Linked DNA regions of Kluyveromyces lactis. The protein of the gene in region 1 interacts with the protein of each later gene in a biochemical or structural test. Links are inferred from orthologs where the notes say so. Each region holds a gene or a part of one and is shown on either strand. Other genes may lie near its edges. The genes, in order: VPS45 and TLG2.

Evidence for each region.
Region 2: the proteins of VPS45 (region 1) and TLG2 form a complex in vitro, tested with the Saccharomyces cerevisiae proteins (2 studies listed by BioGRID). The link is inferred for Kluyveromyces lactis from reciprocal best matches to the Saccharomyces cerevisiae genes VPS45 and TLG2.

What each region holds. Positions count from the first base shown.
Region 1 is NC_006041.1:1,665,670-1,682,713, reverse strand, and holds VPS45 (Vps45p), read left to right. Parts: upstream 1-8,639; coding exon 8,640-10,373; downstream 10,374-17,044. Other genes in the region: tRNA (34-2'-O)-methyltransferase regulator RTT10, read right to left, coding at 1-1,939; PAN2 (poly(A)-specific ribonuclease), read left to right, coding at 2,404-5,838; TCO89 (Tco89p), read right to left, coding at 6,114-8,282; CTI6 (Cti6p), read right to left, coding at 10,451-11,791; APM3 (Apm3p), read right to left, coding at 12,118-13,611; SNF5 (Snf5p), read left to right, coding at 13,990-16,392; BSD2 (Bsd2p), read left to right, coding at 16,793-17,044. UniProt on the Saccharomyces cerevisiae protein: Essential for vacuolar protein sorting. Function in membrane traffic between the Golgi and the vacuole.
Region 2 is NC_006037.1:926,601-933,342, reverse strand, and holds TLG2 (t-SNARE syntaxin TLG2), read right to left. Parts: upstream 4,781-6,742; coding exon 3,686-4,780; downstream 1-3,685. Other genes in the region: MIC19 (Mic19p), read right to left, coding at 1-186; KLLA0_A10703g (uncharacterized protein), read left to right, coding at 1,628-3,466; ATP-dependent RNA helicase FAL1, read left to right, coding at 5,088-6,284; ATG31 (Atg31p), read right to left, coding at 6,338-6,742. UniProt on the Saccharomyces cerevisiae protein: t-SNARE that functions in transport from the endosome to the late Golgi and on the endocytic pathway.

The DNA.
Region 1 (17,044 bases):
ATGAGATATCCCTTATTTCCCTTCCATGAGTTCCATTTTTTAAAGCTCCTGGGTATTTGCCTTTGGGTATCTTAGTAATGTTGAGGGTAGAATTTTTCACAAAACAGAGCACCTGTTGTTGCTCTTGAGATCCAAAAAGCTTCCATTGCCTATGTGCTCCGCCACATGGTTGGCTGAATACTTCATATTGTTGGGATTCGTTATAAATATGGAACAAGTTAGACTTAAATCCGTAGACGAAGAAATCATCATTTGAATCATAAAATGAACCTTCCAAAAAACCTCGGCTAATTTTATTGGCGTGTATTGTTTTGTACACAGAGCTTCTGAAGTCTACAGCAACAAAGAAATAAGTTCCATCTCTGTTAGTCATTGAGAATAATGCATCATTCTCTGTGGTTTCCAAATAGTTAATAGAAGTTATTGCATCAGCTGCTTGAGTTTTAACCACAATTGGAGGTTTCGTTTCTGATGCAAGGTCGAAGATAAATGCCAAGCTGAATCTTGCACCCACCAGTAAGCGATTATTATGAACTTCTGCGCAACTTGATATCATGTTTTCAGGTTTAGAAAACGTATACCTTTCTGTTGGAGCACAGGAACCATGGTTGAATTTTAACATCAACAGTGGGTCTCTAGGATTCGGCGATTCAATTATAAGGTAGAAATGAGCAGTGTGTCTTACTGATAAGCAGTTTACCGTTTTAGTAAGAAGTTCTAGTTCATAGTCGACTTTTTGCAACACAGAACCGAATTTATCAAATTTAAACGATGTCAATAAGCATTTGTTGTTCATGAAGAAGATGGTGTTTTCGTTTCCTTGGGTAATAGAAAAACTGAAAAATCGATCGTCATAATCTAAGAACTTCCATTCCTCTATATTTTGAAGGTATTCAAGTATGTTACCTTCCGATGTGATTAAAACTAAACCAAAATCAAACCAGTGGAAACCTTTTACAATTTCATTGGCTTTATGAATGAAACCGTCGCATTGTTCTGAGATGCTTTCCAGAGAAAGTTCAATATTGCATGATCTATTATGCGGGACAAGTTCCGTAACTTTTAACCGACCATCGTTTCCTCCACTTATAGCAATTAGATTGGTTTCCTCCACATCAACCCCCCACACATTCTTAGTTAGATGACTCTCGAAAATATCTTTTATAGTTAATTCATCGTTCTTGTAGTTCCAGACTCTGCATGTACAATCCTCTGAAACGCTGATGAGCTGTGTATCATCATTGAAGAACTTTAAATTCCATATCCTCGCTGTATGGCCCCAAGCCCTTGATAAAAGCTTTCCAGAAACCATATCCCAAATAATTATGGAACGGTCATCAGAACAACTGGCTAGAAGTTTCCCATTATTACTAGTAGTCACATAAAAGATAGAACCTTCATGACCACGCAGAGTGTGTATTTTCTTCTTTGAGTCTAGTTCCCATACTATAATACCATTCATGATTGTTCCAGCATTTACGAGAACCTTATGGCGAAGAACCTTTATGGAACCAGAATATAAAATCGACCGTTCACCTTCCACAAAATGAGTACTTTTAACAGTGAAGTTATCTGGATCGATGATCAGAACTCTGTTGTAACTGGTTAAAAGATATATTTCTTCTTTATTGAAGCTAAACTCACCGCTCATGATCCATTCACCAGTCATTTTCTCCTGGTCAAGCACTTCACTTTTCGAAAAGAGATCATTTATATTGACGATTGAAAAGGATCTTGAACCGTAAACCAACACATTTCCAGATGTCTTATCTATGCTAATACCATGAACTTTGTTTCTATGGAAAATATGACAGCGGTTAATGCTAGATCCATTCGAATAATCGAATACCTCGATGAATGGACCTTGTGAACATAAGCACCACTTCTCATAGAATTTTACGGCCAGAGAGGGACCAACATGATTCAGTTTTTGTAGCATTACATGCAACTACCCTTTGAATCCTTATTTATTTCGGTATCAACCCTGAAGGTCCTTGTAGTGTTCCCTAATTCCACTGTTCCACTTTTCTCGATCATTAAAAGGTCATCTCATCGTTAATGTCATTCTATTTTACCAGGTCCATTGAGCGATAACATTGAAAAATTTTAAGAAAACCATGTAAAAAGGTCAAAACAAACATAAACATAGAGTGAAGTGAAGAACAAAGCAGCCAGGGACGAGGTATATCCCGAACTAACCAGAGTAAAAGACACTTTACTGTATAATTTTTAAACCTAGCGGTACCTGTACAGGTCTTTCAGGTTATTCGATTGGAATTCAGCTGGTAAAAGCGAACTATAGTTACCGTGCATCTGTGATTTGTTAGGGTACGAGATACTTACCGTTGCTCTTTTGAATGTATGAAAGGGGATTACTAAATAACTGAACTATAGTAACCAGTGATGAACAATTGGCAACTTTCCTATCAGTCACCAGAAGATCTGACGTATCATTTAAAGAAGCCCTATTTGCAGTATGATAAAAAGGAAAAGCAAGTAACAAAGGTAGTATTTGATACTGAGGCTAATCTAATATGGGCCGGAGATTCCTACGGACGCGTATCATCATATGATCCGACATATTCACTTTATACCAGACATACGGCACATATAGGCTCAATGCCTGTTGTTGACCTTTTAAGCAATAAAAATGGTATTCTATCACTAAGCTCCGATTCTTTACATTTCTCTAATAGAAGGGGTGTCACTCAGATGAGCTTAACTTCAGCGGATATCGCACAACTTTCCGATATGAAGACCATGTGTTACTATACCAATAACCAAAATCAAGTACTATGTGCTGGTGGTAATACAGCCAGTGGTATAATATCTGTGGATCTGATAAAAGGAACACTAGCATCAAGCACATACTTTACTTCAAAGGTAAAGCACATGTCCTCAAATAACAAGCTTGTGGCAATTGGTAAGCAAGCGGGATCTATAGATTTATTTGATCCAGTCAGTAATAGGGTGATACATTCTTTATCGGGACACTCTGCATCAATTACCTCGATGGATTTCAAAGATAATACTTTGGTAACTGCGGGAAAATCAAAAACGTTTGGCTACTTGCAGTCTGATCAATTCATAAACGTTTACGATGTGAGAATAATGAAGCAATTACCGCCCATCTCTTTTTCCAAAACGCCTAATTTTGTGGGCAATCACACATCGTCCAAATTTCCGATAGGTGCGGACTTTTTACAATTGCATCCAGTGTTGCCAACGGTCGTGGCTGTTGCGTCTTCTTCGGGAAGTTTCGATTTCATAGATTTGGTCAATCCAAGCCTACGAACCCCATACATCCATCCTTGCAAATCTATTAGCCAATTCACGCTTTCTCCCAGTGGTGATTATCTTGCCTTTCTTGAAGAAGAAAGCATGATAAATATGTGGAACAGATCAAACTCTATGTCTGGATTTACCAACTCTGCTGCAGTACTTGAATACCAGGATTACCCCGAAGACAGTTTCATCCCATATAGAGTCGAAGTGGGTCAGGAATCGTACCCTTTAAGTTCAATTGGGCTACCCTATTACTCAGAAACATTGTTGTCGGCATGGCCTCACACTGTATTCAAAACTGAAGGAATCATATCTAAAAAGATTGAAGGAAGCAGTTCTTCAGAAACCGACAATAATTCTACGAAGAGTGTTAACAGGTCTCTTTCTCACTTGTCAAGCAGTAAGTATTCATTACAGCCGTACAACAAATTCAAATATGGCCCTCGAAATGTTATAGAGCCTTATAAGTCGCTAAGGGAAAGAAGAAAAAAAATGGTAAGTACGACAGAAGATAATCAACATAGGAAAGAACTACTAGAATATAAACCTTCCAATAACATTGATATCCCACCAGCATACAGCAAATTACAAATGATATATGGGAAGTTTGGAGTAATGGATTTCGATTTTGGTGGATTCAATACAACTCAGTATTCGGGATTGGAAACAGATATTGACTGTGTTTATATCAATGAAATAATCCATTTGTACCGTTTCGTTCCTGAAGTTTACAACTTTGTAGTGAACTGTTTGGAAGATGAACACATTCAAGAAAAGTCTGTTTTGACCGAGCTTGGGTTTTTGTTTGATATGATGACAAGAGCGAATGGTAAAATTTGCCGAGCATCTAACTTTGTTGATGTTCTTGAATCAATATCAACGGCTAATGAGCTGGGTTTATTTACTGACGAAATTTCAACTGTATCAGGGCATGCTGGCAAGCCCTCTTTAGATGAAGGGAACTTATCCTCTCACATCTATAACTTGAATTTGTCAGTAGATGCTGACGCAGAAGAAATAATGAAAAGGTCCTATGGGAAATATATGACTGTGGCTCAAAAGTTTAATATTTTCTTACTTGATAGATTAATATCAGAAGAAGTTGAAAGAAAGTTGCATTCAACTGACGCGATTGTGTTAGAAGAATTATTTGGGCTTAATGTGGATACTGAAATTCACACATTATCTACCTGCGGAAATTTCGTTCGCCAGCCACATCTCGTGTCGTCTTTGGTAGTTTTAAGTCCGGCAAGCAACAACGTAAAATATAGCAATAAGAAACTGAGTAACCAAACCATTCTACCGTATATTGAATCATCCATGTGCAGGTTCAAGCAATTGACAGCAAGATGTTCTAAATGCGAGAAGTTGCAAAATCAAGAATACGAAAGCATAGTCAGAAATTTACCACCTTTACTTTCACTCAATATTTGTTTGTCACCAGAAGAATGGACAACTGCTAAAACTGTTAATGGATGGTTGTCAAACCACTTTTTTGCCACAATCTCTAAGGATAGACCCATCTTGAAACTTCAGGCCACTGACCTCAAGACGTCTAATGCTATCTTCAAGTACGAATTAATGTCCTATGTCGCAAGAATCACAGACGATTTCGGTGAGGAGCATTTGGTCACGTACGCTAAGATCTTGGATCAGAAAATACAACAGTACAAGTGGTACATGTTTAATGACTTTTTGGTACAAGAAATTGATGAGGATGAGGCTTTAAATATTTCGTACTGGTGGAAAACACCAGAAATTGTTGTTTATTCTGATGCGGAAGAAATCAGAAAGCCATTTGTTTCAGTTTCGAAATTAAAGGTTGACACAGACATCCTATATCGTGACTATTTCAGTGAGGGCATTAGAAAAGACGTGATAAGACAATACAGACTATTGACTAAAGATGAAGCACCAGGACCGGGCACCTTAGTTGCCTTGGACGCGGAATTCGTGTCTTTGACAGAACCGTACTTGGAAATCAATTGTAAAGGTATGAAAACCTTGCTTAAACCAGCTAAGAAGTCTTTGGCTCGTGTATCTTTGTTGAGAGGTGAAGGTGAGTTGGAAGGTGTTCCATTCATTGATGACTATATTATAAATGAGTGTCATATCGAGGATTATCTAACCCAATTCAGTGGTATCGAGCCAGGAGACTTGGATCCAAAACTGAGTAAAAAAAGTTTGGTTAAAAGACAAGTCTTTTACAGAAAAATGTGGTTACTACTTCAATTGGGATGTGTTTTTGTAGGACATGGATTAACCAATGATTTCAGACAGATCAATATATATGTCCCAGAATCTCAAATTAGAGACACGTCGTTGTATTATTTAAAAGGGAAAAGATATCTTTCTCTACGTTATTTGGCGTTCGCGGTTTTGAGAAAACAGGTGCAAACAGGAAATCATGACTCCATCGAAGACGCACATACTGCGTTGTTACTTTATAGAAAGTATTTGGAGCTAAAGGAGAAGGGTGTATTTGAAATGTATCTAGAGAACATTTATGATGAAGGAAGAAAGTTCGGCTTCAAAGTTCCTGACACGATTTGACGTAGTGATATAAAATCTTCTAAATAATACGTTTATAAATGTGCGGAATATATGCTATCTGGAAAATGACAAGATACTATTTGACAACCTAATACCTCATGTTCGATTTATATTTTGATAAATAGCTTCAATAATTCATTAAGATTATTGTTTTTTATTCTGAAAGTTACATTTAAAGTTTATATCTTAAAGTGAAACTTCTTAGAGAATGATGAAAATACTACAATATGTCGAGTGCATATCCGAAATGCTTGTGAATGCATATATACTTCTGTTTACACATGCTGTTGGTTCAAAACATGCTCCATTCTTCTATTTACTGCCCTAGTAGTGGGATGCAACGAGTTTACTGCTCTTTGATGTTGAGAACTGGACATCCGGGATGGACGGGTGTTTCGATAGGTACCGGGGTGCTGCACTGTCATGAGTTCAGGATTTGATTGAACTAGAGGATTTTCGTCCTTATTAAATTCTAATGTATTGCTGTTCCAAAGTTTGGTGAGCATACGTTGCATTTCCAACTTATTGGCAGTTGAGTTAGTTTCCTTGGATGATTTACCCTTGTCGTAATCGACTCCGAAGAAGCTTCCTGCGTTCTCACCCGTGCTAATTTTCTTTTGTTTTTGTATTTCAATACTTTGTTGTTGCGATATTCTGCTCAAAGAATCTGCCAACGGATTAGAGAATCTTCTAACATTAGTGTATTCTCTAGAAATTCTTTCAAATTCTCTTCTCACCTCCACATTCGAGGCCAAGAACACTGCATCAGGAGAGGTGTTTTGACTGCTTAGATCTTGTATTGAATTTTCTCTTTGCAACCATAACTTTTGTTGTGTTCTTGAGTCAGTTCCGACGTCTCCGTATTGCAAAAATGACGAGAAATCTGTCATGCCATTACCGCTGGTATCATTCTCACTGTACGATGGTTGCCGATAGAGTGATTGCTGCCGTGGACGTGACTGAGATACAGTGTTCGCACGTAAAAGATGGTCGCGTGAAACGGGCCTTGTCAAATGACTGGTTAAACTGGATATAGCTGTAGAAAAGTCGGCCTTCGATTGTTTCGGCTGCTGTTCTTGATGGCGCGGAGGAGATGGCTGATCAATATTGTCATTTTTCAACGAAGCTGCCAAATCTTGATTGATATAGTTAAATTTATTGGATTTTGTATTCTGTATCTTGAGAGATTTATCGTTATTATTTTCGGCTGGGTCGAGCCATGCTAACGAACTCTGACGAGATAATTGATCAAATCTTCTTTCCATTCCGGTAGACTGAGATAGAATCATATCAGGAACGTATTGTTCCGTTCCTTGTGTTTCAGAGTCGATATTAGAACCATTCAGAGCAGTGTTGTTGCTATCAGGAATCATATTGCCATTCTTACTGGAGGAGGAACTGTCATTACTATGGGGATCCTCAGGAAACTGTTCATCAGTTACAGCGCCAGCTTTTGCGAATGAATATCGCTTAGGATCATCACTACCAATATCCTCATTTGCTTTTTCGTTTGTTGCTGTATGTGTAATTCCGTCAATAATATCTTCTTCAGTATAACGACGCACTCCTTCATCGACGGCAGTGTTCGCTGCTATAATATCCTCATGCTCCGTAGTTTCCACATTATAAGATTTCTGCAGATTACCGTTTCCATTATTGAAATCAAACATATGTTGCCTGTGGCGTCTTAGACTATTCGTGTTCGATATAGTGTCCTGATTGCCAGGGTCAATAAGGTCATCTTCCCTGTCAGGAGCGTCAATTTTGTCATTATCCATTGGGCTCACAGCTCTTGATGAAATATGATCATCATCTGCATCAACTCTGTTTCTAAGCCGTGACGGTGGTTTATAGCTCAATGGCCTTTGTAGAGGTCTACCAGAATCCACTCTTAACCCAGCTCTGTCCTGAAAATCATTGATGCTATGCATCGAGTTCCTCTGAGTTGTTGAATTTTTGCCCGTTCCATTTATTGTCTCATCATCTGATGCATCATCTCCTTCTATATCGGTGAAAGACTCTACCTCTTCATCAGTCATAGAATCGTTATCCCCAGAATCGTGAAGATCTAGGATGACGGACTTGGAGTTCCTATCACTAATTAGGCCCTTATGCTTCATGCTGTGACTATTCTGGTGTAGCACAACTGGATGAGATGATGTTCTTACCAATGCCGTCATACTGAGACCACTGTGTACCGTGCGTCTGTTCAATGAGTCCGAACTCTTCGATTTCTTCATAGGATCGAAAAGTCCTCTATTCAATGCATCGTGGCTTCCTACCTTGTGTAATTTCTGTAAGTTCTTGAAACTGGTGTTGCTCTTGCTCCTAGATTTTGCAGAGAACTGTTTAGGTTTTCCATGTCCTTTCTTCTGCTTCATATACTGTGATAGACTGGTATCTGAATTAGTCTTCACAGGCTTCACACGGGAAATTGTGGCCATTGTTGTAAAGAATAGCCAGTAGCCTCAACTTAAGAATTATTACCTTGACTGTACAGAATTGTGGAAAAATTGCTATTTCCCACCTAAATGTAAAGTTTGGAATCACAGGCTATAGCAAGATTGTTGTTCCTGTGTTTGTTTGTAGTTAAACAAAGATGGATTGATGTGTGCCAGAATCTTAGTTTCAACTCTTTTTGAAAATAAGTATTAAAGGAGAAATGACCTTAAACTTTTGCATGGAACAAAGTAGCAGTGAGAAACGGTAGATTAAGGCTGCTGTAGCGCGTGCCAACGGTGAATCAGCAATTAAGATATCCAAGTTCTTTTGAAATTGAGAGGATAGAGCACTTTTTCGTAATGAATTTGTTTACGGTTGGTGATTATTATATCAGCAGAATCGCAAATTTCCAGTCCAAACCGTCGGACACCTCGATACAGGAGAAGTCGAGAGTAAAGGCATTGATTTTGGATAATGACACACTCTCTACGATATCGATGTGTACTACTCAAACCGAGCTATTAAAGCACGAGATTTACTTGGTCGATAAACTTGAGAATATTCACAGAGATCCAATGCCACATTTGAAATGTTTATGCTATTTGAAACCCACTGAGGATACGATTCAAGACCTATTACACGAATTACAGGATCCCAAGTATGGCGAATACCAGATTTTCTTCAATAACCAGGTGAGTAAGTCCCAGTTGGAACGGTTAGCCGAAAGAGATGATATGGAGGTTGTCACACATGTAGAAGAAGTTTTCCAAGACTACCTAATTGTGAACGAGGATGTCTTCACTTTAGAGATCCCGTTGTACAATCTTCTCCAAAATCAATTGGTATGGGATCCAAAGGGATTGCAGGAGACGTCTAACGGGTTAATCTCATTGCTACTATCGTTAAAACTAAATCCGACAATTGCGTATGACTCGGATAGCAAATTGTGTCAAAAGTTAGCTAAGGATTTAGAGTATGAAATTAAGACAAATGAAAGGCAGTTATTTGATTTTCCCGTCAGAGATTCGAATCCGTTACTAATTTTACTTGACAGGAAATCGGATCCATTGACACCATTACTTCAACCGTGGACCTATCAATCGATGATAAATGAATATATCGGAATAAAAAGAAACTTGGTAGACCTTTCGAATGTACCAAATATCGATCCCGATTTGAAGCAGGTTGTACTCTCTTCAAAACAAGATAAGTTCTTCAAAGAAACAATGTATATGAATTTTGGTGATTTGGCAGATAAGGTGAAGAACTATGTTACTCAGTATAAAAATAAGACCAACATTACCAAACAAATCAATACGATAGAAGATATTAAAGAGTTCATCGAAAAGTTCCCCGAATTTAAGAAACTCTCAGGCAACATTTCAAAACATATGGCCATTGTTAGTGAATTAGATAGGCAATTACAACTGAAGAATATATGGGAAGTCAGTGAGCTAGAGCAAAACCTCTCTTCACATGATGACAATAACGATGACTTTGTAGAACTGAAGAGAATTCTAAACTTACCAACCTTAGAATCATATTACAAATTAAAATTATGCTGCATTTTTGTTCTACGACACGGCAAGAACGAATCTAGAGTTTCTGAGTTGGAGAATATTCTAAGACAACAGTGTGATCCCACACAAATTTCTCTTTACTTTCAATTTAAACAGAGATTTGGGTCAATATTCAATAAACACAAAGCTCCTCAGGACAATGATTTGATTAGTGGATTAACCAAGAAATTCAACAGATTAGGCAGCACCAGCGCTGAAAATGTGTTTATGCAACATGTTCCTGAATTGACAACACTTCTCAGCGATTTGGATAAAAACAAGTTCCCACAAGAGGGAGTGACTCTTTTAAACCAAAATATTGACCCTAAGACATATATGCCACAAGATGTTGTTATATTGATCGTCGGAGGCCTCACTATAGAAGAAGCGCGCGCAGTACATCAATTCAATGAGAAACAGAGTAAAAATAAGGACAATTGCAGAGTTATCATTGGAGGAACCTCGATTATTTCTACAGAGCAATTTTTAACAGATGTTTGCGCCGTTAATGATAAACCAGTTGACTTATTATGAACTTACGTATGTACTTCAGATGTAGAATTAGGTAAGGAAATGTATGAAACAAGAAAAGAACACTCTCTATCATGCTTTTAAGAAGCTGGACTAAACTTTTGCTCCCAAAGCAGTAATTTCCTCGTTAGCTCATCCATCGTTTTGAAGGATTCGTCGTAACTGGAGAATATTTTATTAATATTTTCCAGGAATTCTTCGTTTTCCACAAACTGGCACAACTGATCCCGTTGACGTTGGTCATTAGATATTTCTAACTGTGTCCTTGAGATAAATTCCAGAATAGCGTTAACTCTTCTTCTCATTTCATGCATAGTGGTCCTCTGAGAGGGAATCCTGGGTTTTAGAGGCTTGTTGATTCCGATATCATTAGATTGTCCATTAGATTTCGACAAGTTTGAACTTCCAGAGGAACCCGATCCTTTTGAGCTGCTAGCTTTAGAATTCCTTGCAACTCTTCCACTTGAGGTCTTGTAAATCCTTGAGTTACTTTGCGTGGTTGAACCATTGCTCTTACCTCTTCTTGATCTTTTTGATTTGGAGTCATCTTCGGAACCTGATGGCGATGTAGATTTTGTTGTCGTTCTAGCTCGTTTTCTTGATTGACTAGCTGCTTCATCAGCTTCAGATCCTTCCACTTCTGGAGATTCCGTATCTCTAGTGTAATTCTTTGGTGAGGCGGACTTCCCTGATGCCTCTTCTTCCTTCAAAATATCTTGGTCTTCGGGATCGGTGCCATCTTTTGAAGAGCGTCTGCTTTCGCGTAGGGCTTTCTCTAGCATAAGTTGATAATGTTTCTCTTCCCTGGCACTGGATGTAGCACGTTTACGATCTGCAACCTTTTGATTTTCATCAATTGGATCAAACTCGCGCTTGGGAATATTTTCATCCTTATCTTCACCATTTCCGGAGTCCGCAATAGAATCTTCACCTTCATCCTTCGATAATTCAACATTACTACTATTTCTCCTTTGCCGAGATAATCTTTGAGATCCAATATTTCCACTAACCACTGAGCTAGAAGGAGATTGGTTCTCTAGTGAACTTCCAGCGTTTGATACTTCTCCATCCGATTCGGAGTTTCTTTTCGACCTTCTATTTTTCCTACGGCGTTGCTGAATTGGCTTGTATATTGACCTCTTCTCACCAAGATCCGTTGTGTAGAGCGAGTGTAGCTCTGGTTTACACTGCTCGCACCAATACTTATCCGGAGTTTCCTCCTCAGATATGCCCACACAATATCCATGTTGCCAAACATGGCATTGTTCACATTGAATATAAAGACCCGAATCATCTGGCGGTTCAATTTTCCCACAAATACACCGAGTCTCACCTTCATCCTCAGGCTCTGGATCAGAGTCCTCTACATACTTCTCTGGTGCAAGGTCCGTCCTTCCACGGTCCCTCGTTTCTCGCTTCATTGCTATGATTCAAGATCCCCTCTTCTCGATTATTCGTCAAATATCAGCTGCAAATCGCCCAAATTAACCGCTCTATGTCGAGATCAGTAAAAATGGCACTATAGAACAGCCCTGAAACTTCTGGAATTCACTCTTGCCCTCCGCATTGCATACATAGAAACTTTAAAACATCTGTTATCCAAGGTGGCTCTACTTATTCCTTTTAAGTCTTTAATCAGTTGGAACACTTTTTCCTCGTTCGAAAAGTACATAAAACAAAAATATCACGTGATCCAAACACATACATAAATACATACATACATATATATAAACCATTTAACGTATCATCACCTATACTCTAGCGAACCAGTCTTTGTGAGGTACTTAACACCTTTGAACGGTTTTTTTGGACCTCCATTAACTACGTCGATTGATTGAAGTTTGATTCCGGAGGGAAGCTGGGATTTGTGTTCGTAGTAACATTTGATGAAACTAGGTTGTAGTAAGGATGTTAAGTGTGAACTAGGTGGTTGAACAACCGAAGATCTACTAGATGTTTGGTCATTGGAGGCGAGTTCGGGTTCCAGTTCCGCTATACAACGTAGTACAGCCATTGAACCGCATACCATGTTTTTGTCCAAATGCCAATTAACTTCGCCACGAGTCATATTTGTTTCGACACCGCCGTGAGTGTTTCTCATGACACGTACTATTCCCTTAAAATTTCTATTCATCCTGATAGTCATGCTCATGTTTTCTATTTCTTTCACCGTCGTGCTCATTCCAACGGTGACGCGGACCTCAAATTCGTCAAGTCTTTTACCTAAACTGCTTTGTAAATTTACGTCTATAATGCCGAGGTTTGAGTCTCTTTTCACCAACGGTAGGGTATATTGACAGAGCCTAGTACGTCCATCAGGAGGTACAAACGTTAGCTTAGTGAATTTCCCAGCGATTAAATCATTTATGCTGTTCGCCTTATCCTCTAAGATGCATCTATGGAAAGTCGTGTTTAAGTGGCTAAGCTTGTGGTCTAAGAGCCCAAGTTTCATCTCAACCAATGGCTGTCCGCTGAGATGGTTGTTTAAGTCGATACAACCCTTGATATGTCCGGTTAACAGTTTCCCCTTTTCCACAATAGCGTTAATTTCCTCACTCATATCGATGAATATTTCGTTATTAGCATAGTTGATGCCGCTCATTCTCCATGGGACACCAGATTCATCAACGGAATGATCAACTAACGAGGAGCCAGGAGACCCAACGTGGAACGAGGAAACGGATGAAGCGGATGAAGATGGATATCTACTGCCACTAAACCTTGATTTTTCCGGACCATTCTTAAACATTGACCCGTCCGGTTGTTGTAAGGTCTTGGTAATTGTATTGGTTGTCGTCTTCAACAATTTCGATAAATCGTTTCTACTTGGGACCATTGCCTTTAAACGGTTCGAGTCTGTTATCACCGGTTGCCCAGCATCAAGGATACAATGGAAAAGCATCGATAATCGATCGAGGTTATTATTTATCTTCTGCTTCGTTAATTGGTCCTTATCGAAATATTGTAACAACAGTAAATCTATCTCTTCTAACAAAGATACCACGGAAACTGTGGACTCTGAACACGAAATTAAACACCAATAAACAACTGGATTCAGCAAAGAAACGTGTCTGCAAAGCTTCAACTCAGAATTTATCTCATTGCAGTATTTAGACTCCCATGATTCGTCTTTACCTTGTAGTTTAACAACTAGTTGCCGAAAAGTAGGGCACTCTGCTACTGTTGAGTACTGGAATAGCGTTTCCTGGCACCTATCATTGACATATATGCTAACAATCATTGTAGCCAATTGCTTAAGTTCACTATGATAACCAACTATATGCGGATAACCCGCTGTATCCTGTTTGCTTGCCTTAATTTTTCATTAGGTTGTTCCATCTCGTACTTCTCTTAATCGTTAATCAAAATTTCGTGAATTTCATGAATTCAAAGAACGAAAGAACAAGACCAACAACAAACTTTAAAGATCAACAAGAAATTCTTGTTTTTAAGGGAACTGAACACCTTTCAGGTAGGCTTCAGAAAGGGTATATTTGACAGCATTTGGTTGAGAATTATCGCAAGAAAGAATATACTAGTTTCCTTCTGTGTTTCCCTTTCTGTCTGCAATTGAAAACACTAGTTGCAGTTTTGTTTCTCTATATAAGCTGAAAGGAGAATGTCAAACCCACCAATGAATCCTGGCAATGCGAACCCTTTGAGTAACATAGGGACGCCTTCCTTTTCGCTTTCGCAGGTTCCACAACATATCCTACAATCCTTGACGCCAGCGCAGTTGCAGATGATTCAGCAGAAACATCAACAGTTGTTATTGCAGAGACAAAGACAAGCACAGCAGATGCAGCAAGAACAGGTTTCTTCTCCCGGTAATATGAACCAATTGGATGCTGCTCAGCGTGCGCAGCTAATGAAGCTCAAACAACAACAAATGCAGAGATCTCAGACGCAGCAGCAACAGGAGCAACGAGCTCAGCAGGTGCAACAAGCCCAGCAATTGCAACAACAGCAGGTTCAACAGCAACAGCAGCAGTCTCCTCCCCAATCTCAACAACGAACTTCTTTGAATCTTCCTCCACAAATTGCACAACTATCACCGGCATTGCAAATGCAATGGCTTCAGTCCATCAAACAACAGGCTATTGCGAGAAATAACCAGAACGCTCTTCTGATGATCACTCAGCTTGAAGTCAAATTACAGCAACAACATAGACAGCAACAGCAACAGCAACAACAGCCTGTACCACCACAACAACCTGTTCAGCAGCAACAACATCAATCCCCGCCACGCAACATTATTCCTCCTAACCAACCGCAGCTTCAACAGCCTCAACCTCAGAAACCTCGTATACCACTTCAGCAACAAATGGGGAATCCACAACAAATGATTGGAGGTCAACCTATAACTCAGAATATACCAGTTATGAACAGTAATCAATCGATGGTTCCTTCGTCACAACAGCCACAATCACAACCACCACAACCACCACAACGACAACCACCACAACGACAACAACAACAACAAGTCCCAGTTTCAGTACCACAGCCACCTCAACCATCACAAGCTGCAATACTACAGCAAGTGCTTCAGAAGTTTCAGAAACAACTTCCTGATATTCCCAAATTCCAAACTATTCTTCAAGACCCACCTGAGACTCCATTACCTCATACTAGGTTATGGTCAGAGAAAGAAAGAGCTGATAACGAGCCTGTGAGTTTTGATACAAGATTATATGAACATGTTATTGAACGGGATTTGTTGGATAAGGACAACTTGTTGGCGGACACTAATGGATTGGAACCTATTTCCAAATTCGGATTCAGTCAGAGGGAGGTAATATTGAGATTACAGCAAGATCTTGATTATTACAAAGAATTGAGGAACAGTCGAATGCAATCCATTACCAACACAACTCAAGGACATAAATCTAAGAGTATATGGGGTGACGGTTATTCTGGATATGGAAATGGCTTCAGTAACGATCTCACAAGGATTCAAGTCGATGACACTTATGAAATGCACTTGGACGAAATATATGAATGGACAATGAATCAAACAGGGGAGGAACTAGTACCTGTTAGATTAGAGTTTGATGCAGAAAAGGATAAATTTACTTTGAGGGACACATTCGTATGGAACAGATCAGACACGCTACTGTCAATCAACGAATTTGTGAAAACAACGCTGAAGGATTATAGGCTCAAAGTCACCACGGAGATGTATCAACAGATTGTGAATAGTATCAAAGAACAACTTCAAGAATATACTCCAAATCCTTTTGAAAATGTGCAGAGGTTCGGGGGCGATGATTTCAGAATAAAAATCAACCTAGATATTGTCGTTGGACAACATCAATTGATAGATACCGTTGAATGGGATGTGTCAAATCCAGATAATTGTCCAGAATCGTTCGCGGAGTGTTTATGCGAAGAACTATCCCTTCCGGGTGAATTCTTAACAGCAATTGCACATTGCATTAGAGAACAAGTTCACATGTATCACAAGTCATTATATATGGTTGGTTACAAATTTGACGGTAGCCCCGTTGAAGAAGACGATATCAGAACAAGATTCTTGCCTGTACTCACCTTAGCAGACGTAATGAGACCACAAAAGGATACGTTTTTATACACACCTAACTTATTACAGATATCTCCCGCAGAACTAGAACGTTTGGTTAAGGATAAGGACAGAGACACTAGAAGGAAACGTAGACAAGTTCGTTTCAATAGAAGAGGCAATACAGAAAATCACCCATCGTCCGGAAGTACACCGCAACTACCCCATGATGCAGAACTTCCTGATCTTGGGGATATCCCAAAAACGTGCCGTCAACTACTTCCAACAACAACTTTGCCTGGAGGTATTGATGTTGGTCCAAGTACGTTATCGTTCCAGCCATCAACTAGAGTCGAATATTTAGACAGAGCTAAAGCAACTCCAAAACAAGAATTCCAACAGGAAGTAAGAAACTCATCAGCATGCAGAGTTATTATGCACGACGTTGGGAAATCTTTACTCGTCACTATAAAGCTACCAAAGGCGAAGACAACCATTCAATGAGTAATTCGCTATATATATATATATGTACATATGTATTTATGTGGTACCACCTGTAACAATTTTAAGAAATACTATGATAAATAAGCTAGAAGAAAGAGCACTGAAGATAGCTATGAGAGACCGAACGCCGATGATCGCGGGCTTACTCGAGGGTCTTGACACGCACCTCTACGTATATCGATATTTATGTGTGCCTGTTTCATTCTTTATGGTGTAAGCCTCTAAATTTCATAAACAGCTCAAAACCAAAAAATATATTTAGTAATGGAAACGTTAACATTTGAACGAACCAACCCTTTTAAGAAACTTGGTATGCAGAGGCCACAAACTCATCAAAGCAGCCATATTTGAGTGTTACTCGAGGGTAGTAGAGTTTACTGAGATTATCTACGCGGCGAGTATGTCTGAGCATTCGGAATTCGTAGCCGGAAGTGGCGTTGGCAGGAGCCAAGATGAAGTCGGTGGATCTTCCTCAGTGACTTTGTCTCCTTCACAATCGCAGTCGCAGCTGCAAACACAGCCAGAAACCGAATCTTCAAGAGCTGATGATGTGGAAACAGGGACAACTTCGTCGTCTTCTAGACTGCACCAGATGAATGGGCAGTTCCAACAACATTTGAACTTTGTTGCCCGAAAGTTCAATATATTAGAT
Region 2 (6,742 bases), on another chromosome or scaffold:
CTCCGATTCCAAATCAGACAATTTCGCAGAGACCTTTTCCTGTAAGTATCTTTCTGCCTTTTGAGACCTAATGAAGTCCGATTCAGTTGAATTATCGATCTGAGCGATCAATTTGCTTTCGAAATTAACCGGCGTTTCCGGAACGTATACTTTAGTTTCGGCTGGTTTTGAAGGTTGGGCACCCATGGTTTAATGAACTATTGTATTGGAAAAAAGGTGTGTGCAACGGCGTTAACCTGGAGTTCTTTCGCAGAAGGACGGATCTGTCGCAATAAGAATGGGGTAATTGAATACGCTTCGAGGACGACTCTAAACTCTACAATTCTGGCAATAACGTACAACTTTCTTTAACATTTCATTGGTTTAAATTTTTCAGTATTTTCCTCAAAAGTTGAATAAGAGATGATATACAAATACATGTACATATATGTAGAGAGAGAAGACGAAGATGAAGATGAAGATATCAAACCTGACTATGGTGTCAAGTGCTCTTCACTTCATAGAATTCTGCCTCATGCCATATGAGGCCATTTGCGTTGGATCCACATACTAACTAACTTAATATTTAGCTATTCACGGGCCTTGTATGAATTTCTGTCCAGAAAAACAGTGTTTTTCACGCAACAACTGTCGGTATAGACACCTGCGATACCATCGAACGGTACTAGCTGTTCGTAGTTTCCCACCGCTTGATTGCATTGCATTGCATTGCATTCTACCTTTTCCTAATTCTTTCTTCCCCATGCGACTTGTACTTCCTAATGTAACTCTCCGTAGTATGCCAAAAGCCAAGTAACTCCTCTCGGTAGCCAAGTTGGTTTAAGGCGCCAGACTGTAATTTGAAAACACAAAGCAATTTGTAATCTGGAGATCGGGCGTTCGACTCGCCCCCGGGAGACTTATTTTTTTTTTTGAATCTTCTATGCCACAAAGAGAAAGAAAGAAAGGCCACACACACAGCCTTCACTGTGGACGGTATCGGCTGCAAAACCAGCCTTTCCACGAAACGGGAAAATTATGTCTTTTCCCTAAGCAGTATGATCGACCACAAGTACTATCCATATCATGGCAGATGCATATATGTGGTTTATATGGCAAAGCTGATATATATTTGTGCGATAGACACAGATGGCTTTCTTTGAGTGTGTAATTTACTTGTATAGTTTCTCCGTAAGTGTCCTACGGAGCTTGTTGACACAATATAGCAACATAGGGTGGATCAATCGACTGTTTTCTGTCGTTATCTTTCTGCAGCCTTTATCGCATTTTTTTTCTTTTGTTCAAGATTTAGATTTCGACTCGAAATCTCCATTTACTATTAAAAGAAGTCTTCTTCAAGCAACACTCGCTGGTTTGTTTAAAGACAGAGACTGGTTAAAGACGCGTTTCATTCGAGAAGTTAGCCGAATCTTGTTGCCTTTTGCACTCTAATTACAATTAAAATTGGAATCATTGTCAAATAATAACTAATATTGTGGTATTCAGTGGAAATAGTGGTGTCTGTCTTTTCCCCCATTTTGTAGATAACGTTTTGTGTCTCTCCGCTGATTTCAACTTGGAGGAGTTAAAAGGGCTCCAGTTTAATATCTAATACTGACCTTATACTCAGTATACTGATATAAGACGAATGGCCAAGAGGTTTACGTTCGGGTTTGCAACCCTTTTGTTTTTCCTGCAGTGTGTGGCATTAGCCTTTCTAATTTTGGCGTGTGTTTCTGCACCGGTTTTCGATAATGTCAGATTGGCAAGTTTCGATGGGATCCATTATGGTGTGTTTGGATACTGTGAAGATGACGGTGGTTCATGTTCTTCTGCTCAGGCGAATTATCACCCGGAAAATTTGGATGACGATGATTCGAATTGGAAGATGAATAACGATTCGAGAAAAGCCTTGGGTAGTATCTTGATCGTGACACCAATCGCTGCTGGGTTAACGTTTTTAGCATTGGTCACTAGTTTCCTATGCCAATTCAGGTTCTTTGATTCGAGCACTTTCTGGTTTGTTATGAATTTCTTGTTCTCCATCTTGGCATTTTTATCGTCTGCTCTTATCTGCATCGTGGTGATCCTTTTGTTTTATCCTCACGTTACGTGGTACTCGTATATTTTAATTGCTTCTGCTGTGTTGAATTTGGTTTGCTTGCCGTTATGTTTCTTTGCTCGTTCTCAAACGGCTTCTAATAGTAAGAACGGACTTGTCGATGAAGAAGATGAAGATCGTTCTTCAACGTCTATCAGAGACAAATTTTATAAAGAAGAGTTTAATCAAACAGAGGTGACTAATTTAGATGCTCCATCCATTCCGGATTATTATAAAGGCTCGAAAATCGTCACCAGCAACACTTTAAACTCTAATACTATCACTGACTCAGATGTGCCCTCTTCATATATGAACAACGGCAGTGTTGCTGCAACAACAGCAAACACTGCCGTAGTACCACCGCAAGGACTAGCAACCATGGCAGCAGCAAATAGTTATCAAAGACACAGTAACAATAACGATGCCACTTTGCTTCATAATGCTGTTCCAAAGCAGCCGTACTCCGCTATTAACCAAAGTGGTACCAATTCAAGTATGAATTCCTCTTCTAGGGCTTTGTCTTCTGGTAGAATTACGGCACCAAACAATAATTACAGCCAGCAGAATTTCTCTCAGATGGGAGAAATTGGTTCGTTGGCTCCATCATCAGTTTATGCTGAACACATAGCCGGTGGTAGTAGTGGGGTAATAGCATCAGACCTTCAACAGGGCAACAATAGAGGACAGTCACAAGATGAACTCACACAACCTCCAAAGACTCAACAAGACGTATTGCAGGATATTATCAATGGCGTCTTATCCGAGGATGAAGAAGAATTCTTGAAACAAAATACTGTTGATCCTAGTGAAAGACCTGCAATGGACACTTTTGATGATGATGGAATCAACGACGATGACTCTCAGTTCACATCGGTCTCTCAAAGAGGTATCAATCCAAATTACTACCAGGGAAGAGGTGGTGTACAGTATATCCCTCCTACTCATGGTCCACTACAGAACCAATTACAAGGTCAAGTACAAAATCCTGCTATGGCTCAAGGAATGGTTCCAAATGGTATGCATCCTACGCAACCGCCAGTTGTCGGGGGACAGTATTACCCTCCACTTCCTAACCAAGCAGGTCCGCAACAAGGATACTACCACCCTCCGCCACTACCAGTACAGCAACAACAACCACAACAACCACAACCTCCGTATTCGGCTGGTCCGTCTGCATCAGATTTCTTATTACAATCAAACCCTGAATTCTCCATCGGAACTGGTCCAGCATCATACGGAAATAGCCAAAGGAGTGCAGGGCTAAACTCCGCACCAGCATCTTCAATGCACTATAAACCTGCTTATAGGAAAAGGCTCCCAAGAAAAAATAACCTACCTCTGCATCCATGTCAAGAGACAGTCCCTATGGAGCATTTTAAGTTCTGATTGTAATATTCATACTGAAACCACTCACTTTTTAAACAAATTTATTCTATTTACTGTAACAGATAATATATAGACCTCCTCTCTAGTTAACTTTTTTGAACCTTTCTACTGTTACCAATTCGACAGTGGTCGTTTACTTCTATCACGATATCAAAATTTGTTTTCGAAGTTCGATGCAGTTTCTCCATCATAAGCAAGTTCATTAATATTTGACCATTTTTATTCTACATTACTTTCTGGATCCAGCAACGGGTCTCCATTAGGAGAATTGACCTCCACTTGTGATCCAGGAGGTTTGTGAGATTTTGAAGGAGCTGATTCTCGTATAGTATGGTGATGAGGTTTCAGCATGACAAGGAGGAATAACGCTAGAACGACCAAAGATAGAAATAGAATAATTTTACATTTTTGACTCCGTTTTTGGTAGTGCGTTGCCTTGTCTAACTCCTTTTGGGCCTGCTTTAATTCAATAACCGTGTTTTCTAAGTTATAATCGATCCTATCGACCACTGTACCTTGATCTATGATCAAAGACTGCATTTCCCTGAAAATAGTACTAACTTCGAGTACACCTTTCGCTAACTGTGTAATTTCCTCATCTCTTTGTTGCAAAAATTGCTGATTGTTATCCTGTAACTTCTGATTCTGTTTTTGTAAAGTCTGCTTTGAATATGAGTCGATGTTATTGACTTCATCTCCTTCAACTTCTTCCTCCAACAACATCAATGTATCGTTACTTGATTTCGTAGTGGGTAGTGGTTTGAAATCATCTTTATTCAAAAACTTCAAATGATTATTCTGTAATATTCTGAACTTCTGCGATTTGTCTTGCACTTTCAAAGCGTAGTTCTTTTCTAGGTTATCCAATATCCTTAACTCGTCCTTGCTTAGCTGCTTACCATTCGAATATTGAGAATCCTTAATTCTCGTAAGAGTCTTGATAACACCAAAACATTCTTGGAATCTCTTAATTACCTGGAAACTTATCTGCTCAATCTCCTCCTCATCCTGCTTATTGTCCTGGAATCCTGGTAAAGAGTTCTTTTGATATAGTTTCGTCAACTGTAGCAACAATTGATCTACTGCAGATAACGACTCATCCACTTGGAACGTTAAATCGAAAAATTTTGGCGGTAATTGACGGGAGAAATCATCCATAGCAACCATATCTTCATCATTGTTACCATCGTCACTACCAATGAATGGCTGGTTCTCCAAATCTTTATTCGATCGTAGATGCTTGGTACTCGAAAGCCTCTGATGGGGGAAAGTTCTCCTATAGGATAAAAACAAATTAGTTCTATCACGAAACATGGTGCAGTTCAAAAGCAAACAAGGGAAGAAAGCACGCACTACCACTAATCTGATCTAAATAATCACTAGATCGAGCCACTCGACCAGTTGTTCTGCAGTTATTTACATACACTTGTAATTTGACACCTTAAAGTGTTGTTGAACTTTCGGTTCTCAGCTTAAAACCTTTAAAAAATGGAAAATTTGGCAAGCACAACGATAAGATGAGATGCGATGAGATGCATTGAAATAGAGGCTGCAACGGTAGGTCCAAGTGAAGTGTAACCGGGAGTTACTGTTGTTAAGAAAGGGAATCATCACATCAACAATGTCGTTCAACAGAGATGATGACTCGAAGTTGAAGTTTAAGACTTCAAAGAAGCTCAAGGTATCTGCCACTTTTGAGTCGATGAACTTGAAACCGGATTTGTTACGAGGCATATATTTTTACGGCTTTGAATATCCATCATCCATTCAGTCTAGAGCCATTTCTCAGATTATCTCAGGAAAAGATGTGATTGCCCAGGCACAGTCTGGTACCGGTAAGACGGCCACATTTACCATTGGATTATTACAAGCAATTGATTCTAAGAGCAAAGAGTTACAAGCATTGGTCTTATCACCAACAAGAGAACTAGCGAGTCAAAGTGAATCTGTGATATCTAACCTAGGAGACTATTTGAACGTTACAGCACATGCGTGCACAGGAGGTAAGGCCTTACAACAAGATATCAAGAAAGTATCGAAAAATTGTCAAGTGGTCAGTGGTACACCGGGCCGTGTACTAGATATGATCAAGAGACAAGTATTGAACGTTAGAAACTGTAAGATCTTAGTTCTCGATGAAGCAGATGAACTACTCGGAGAAACTTTGGGGTTTAAACAACAAATCTACGACATTTTCACCAAGTTACCACCGACGATTCAAGTCGTGGTGGTAAGTGCTACAATGAGTAAAGATATATTAGAGATCACCAAGAAGTTCATGAGTGACCCGGTGAAGATATTGGTTAAGCGGGATGAGATATCCTTGGACGTGATAAAGCAATATTATGTGGATGTAGAAAAGGAAGAATGGAAGTTTGATACACTCTGTGATCTATACGATTCGTTAACGATAACACAATGTGTGATATTCTGTAATACAAGGAAAAAAGTGGATTGGTTATCCAGGAAGTTGACACAGACGAATTTCTCTGTGTCCTCAATGCACGGTGACATGAAACAGGAAGAACGTGATCAAGTGATGAATGATTTCAGGAGTGGAAAAGCCAGGGTGCTAATATCGACAGACGTGTGGGCTCGTGGTATCGATGTCCAGCAGATCTCATTGGTGATAAACTACGATATACCAGATAATCTAGAGAACTATATCCATCGTATTGGTAGATCCGGACGGTTTGGACGTAAAGGTGTTGCAATAAATTTCATCACGAAGGAGGAAAGACCCAAATTGAAAGAGATCGAATCGCACTATAGAATTAAGATCAAACCAACTCCTGCAAATTTAGAAGAGTTGTCGTGAGACTATGGGATATATATATATATATGTATGTATAGATATACATATGCTACAATTTACGGAGCTATGGAATCGAGTAGTTTCCGTATCTGAGCGTTTCGCTCATGGTACAGCTTAGACAGGTTATCTAAACCAGAAATATCAGTATTCTGACCCAAATCTGCACTTAATTCGTTCATGACAGTGAGTGATATGCAATTATCTCTTGGGTTTTGATCAAAAGCTAGTAACTGCCACCGTTCGCTAAGCATTTCTACATTGTTCACCGTGCCAGACGGCTCACTATCTATAATGATGACATTTTCGTAATCTAGTTGATCTTCGTCGTGCTGGCTCGGATCATCATCTTCGAATATGAAGCTGATATTATTTAGGAACCAAGTATTCTCATCCACAGTATACGAATTCTGTTTCTGTCCGAGTAATCCCAGATTGCTTGCATTAGTAGCAGCATTAGCGTT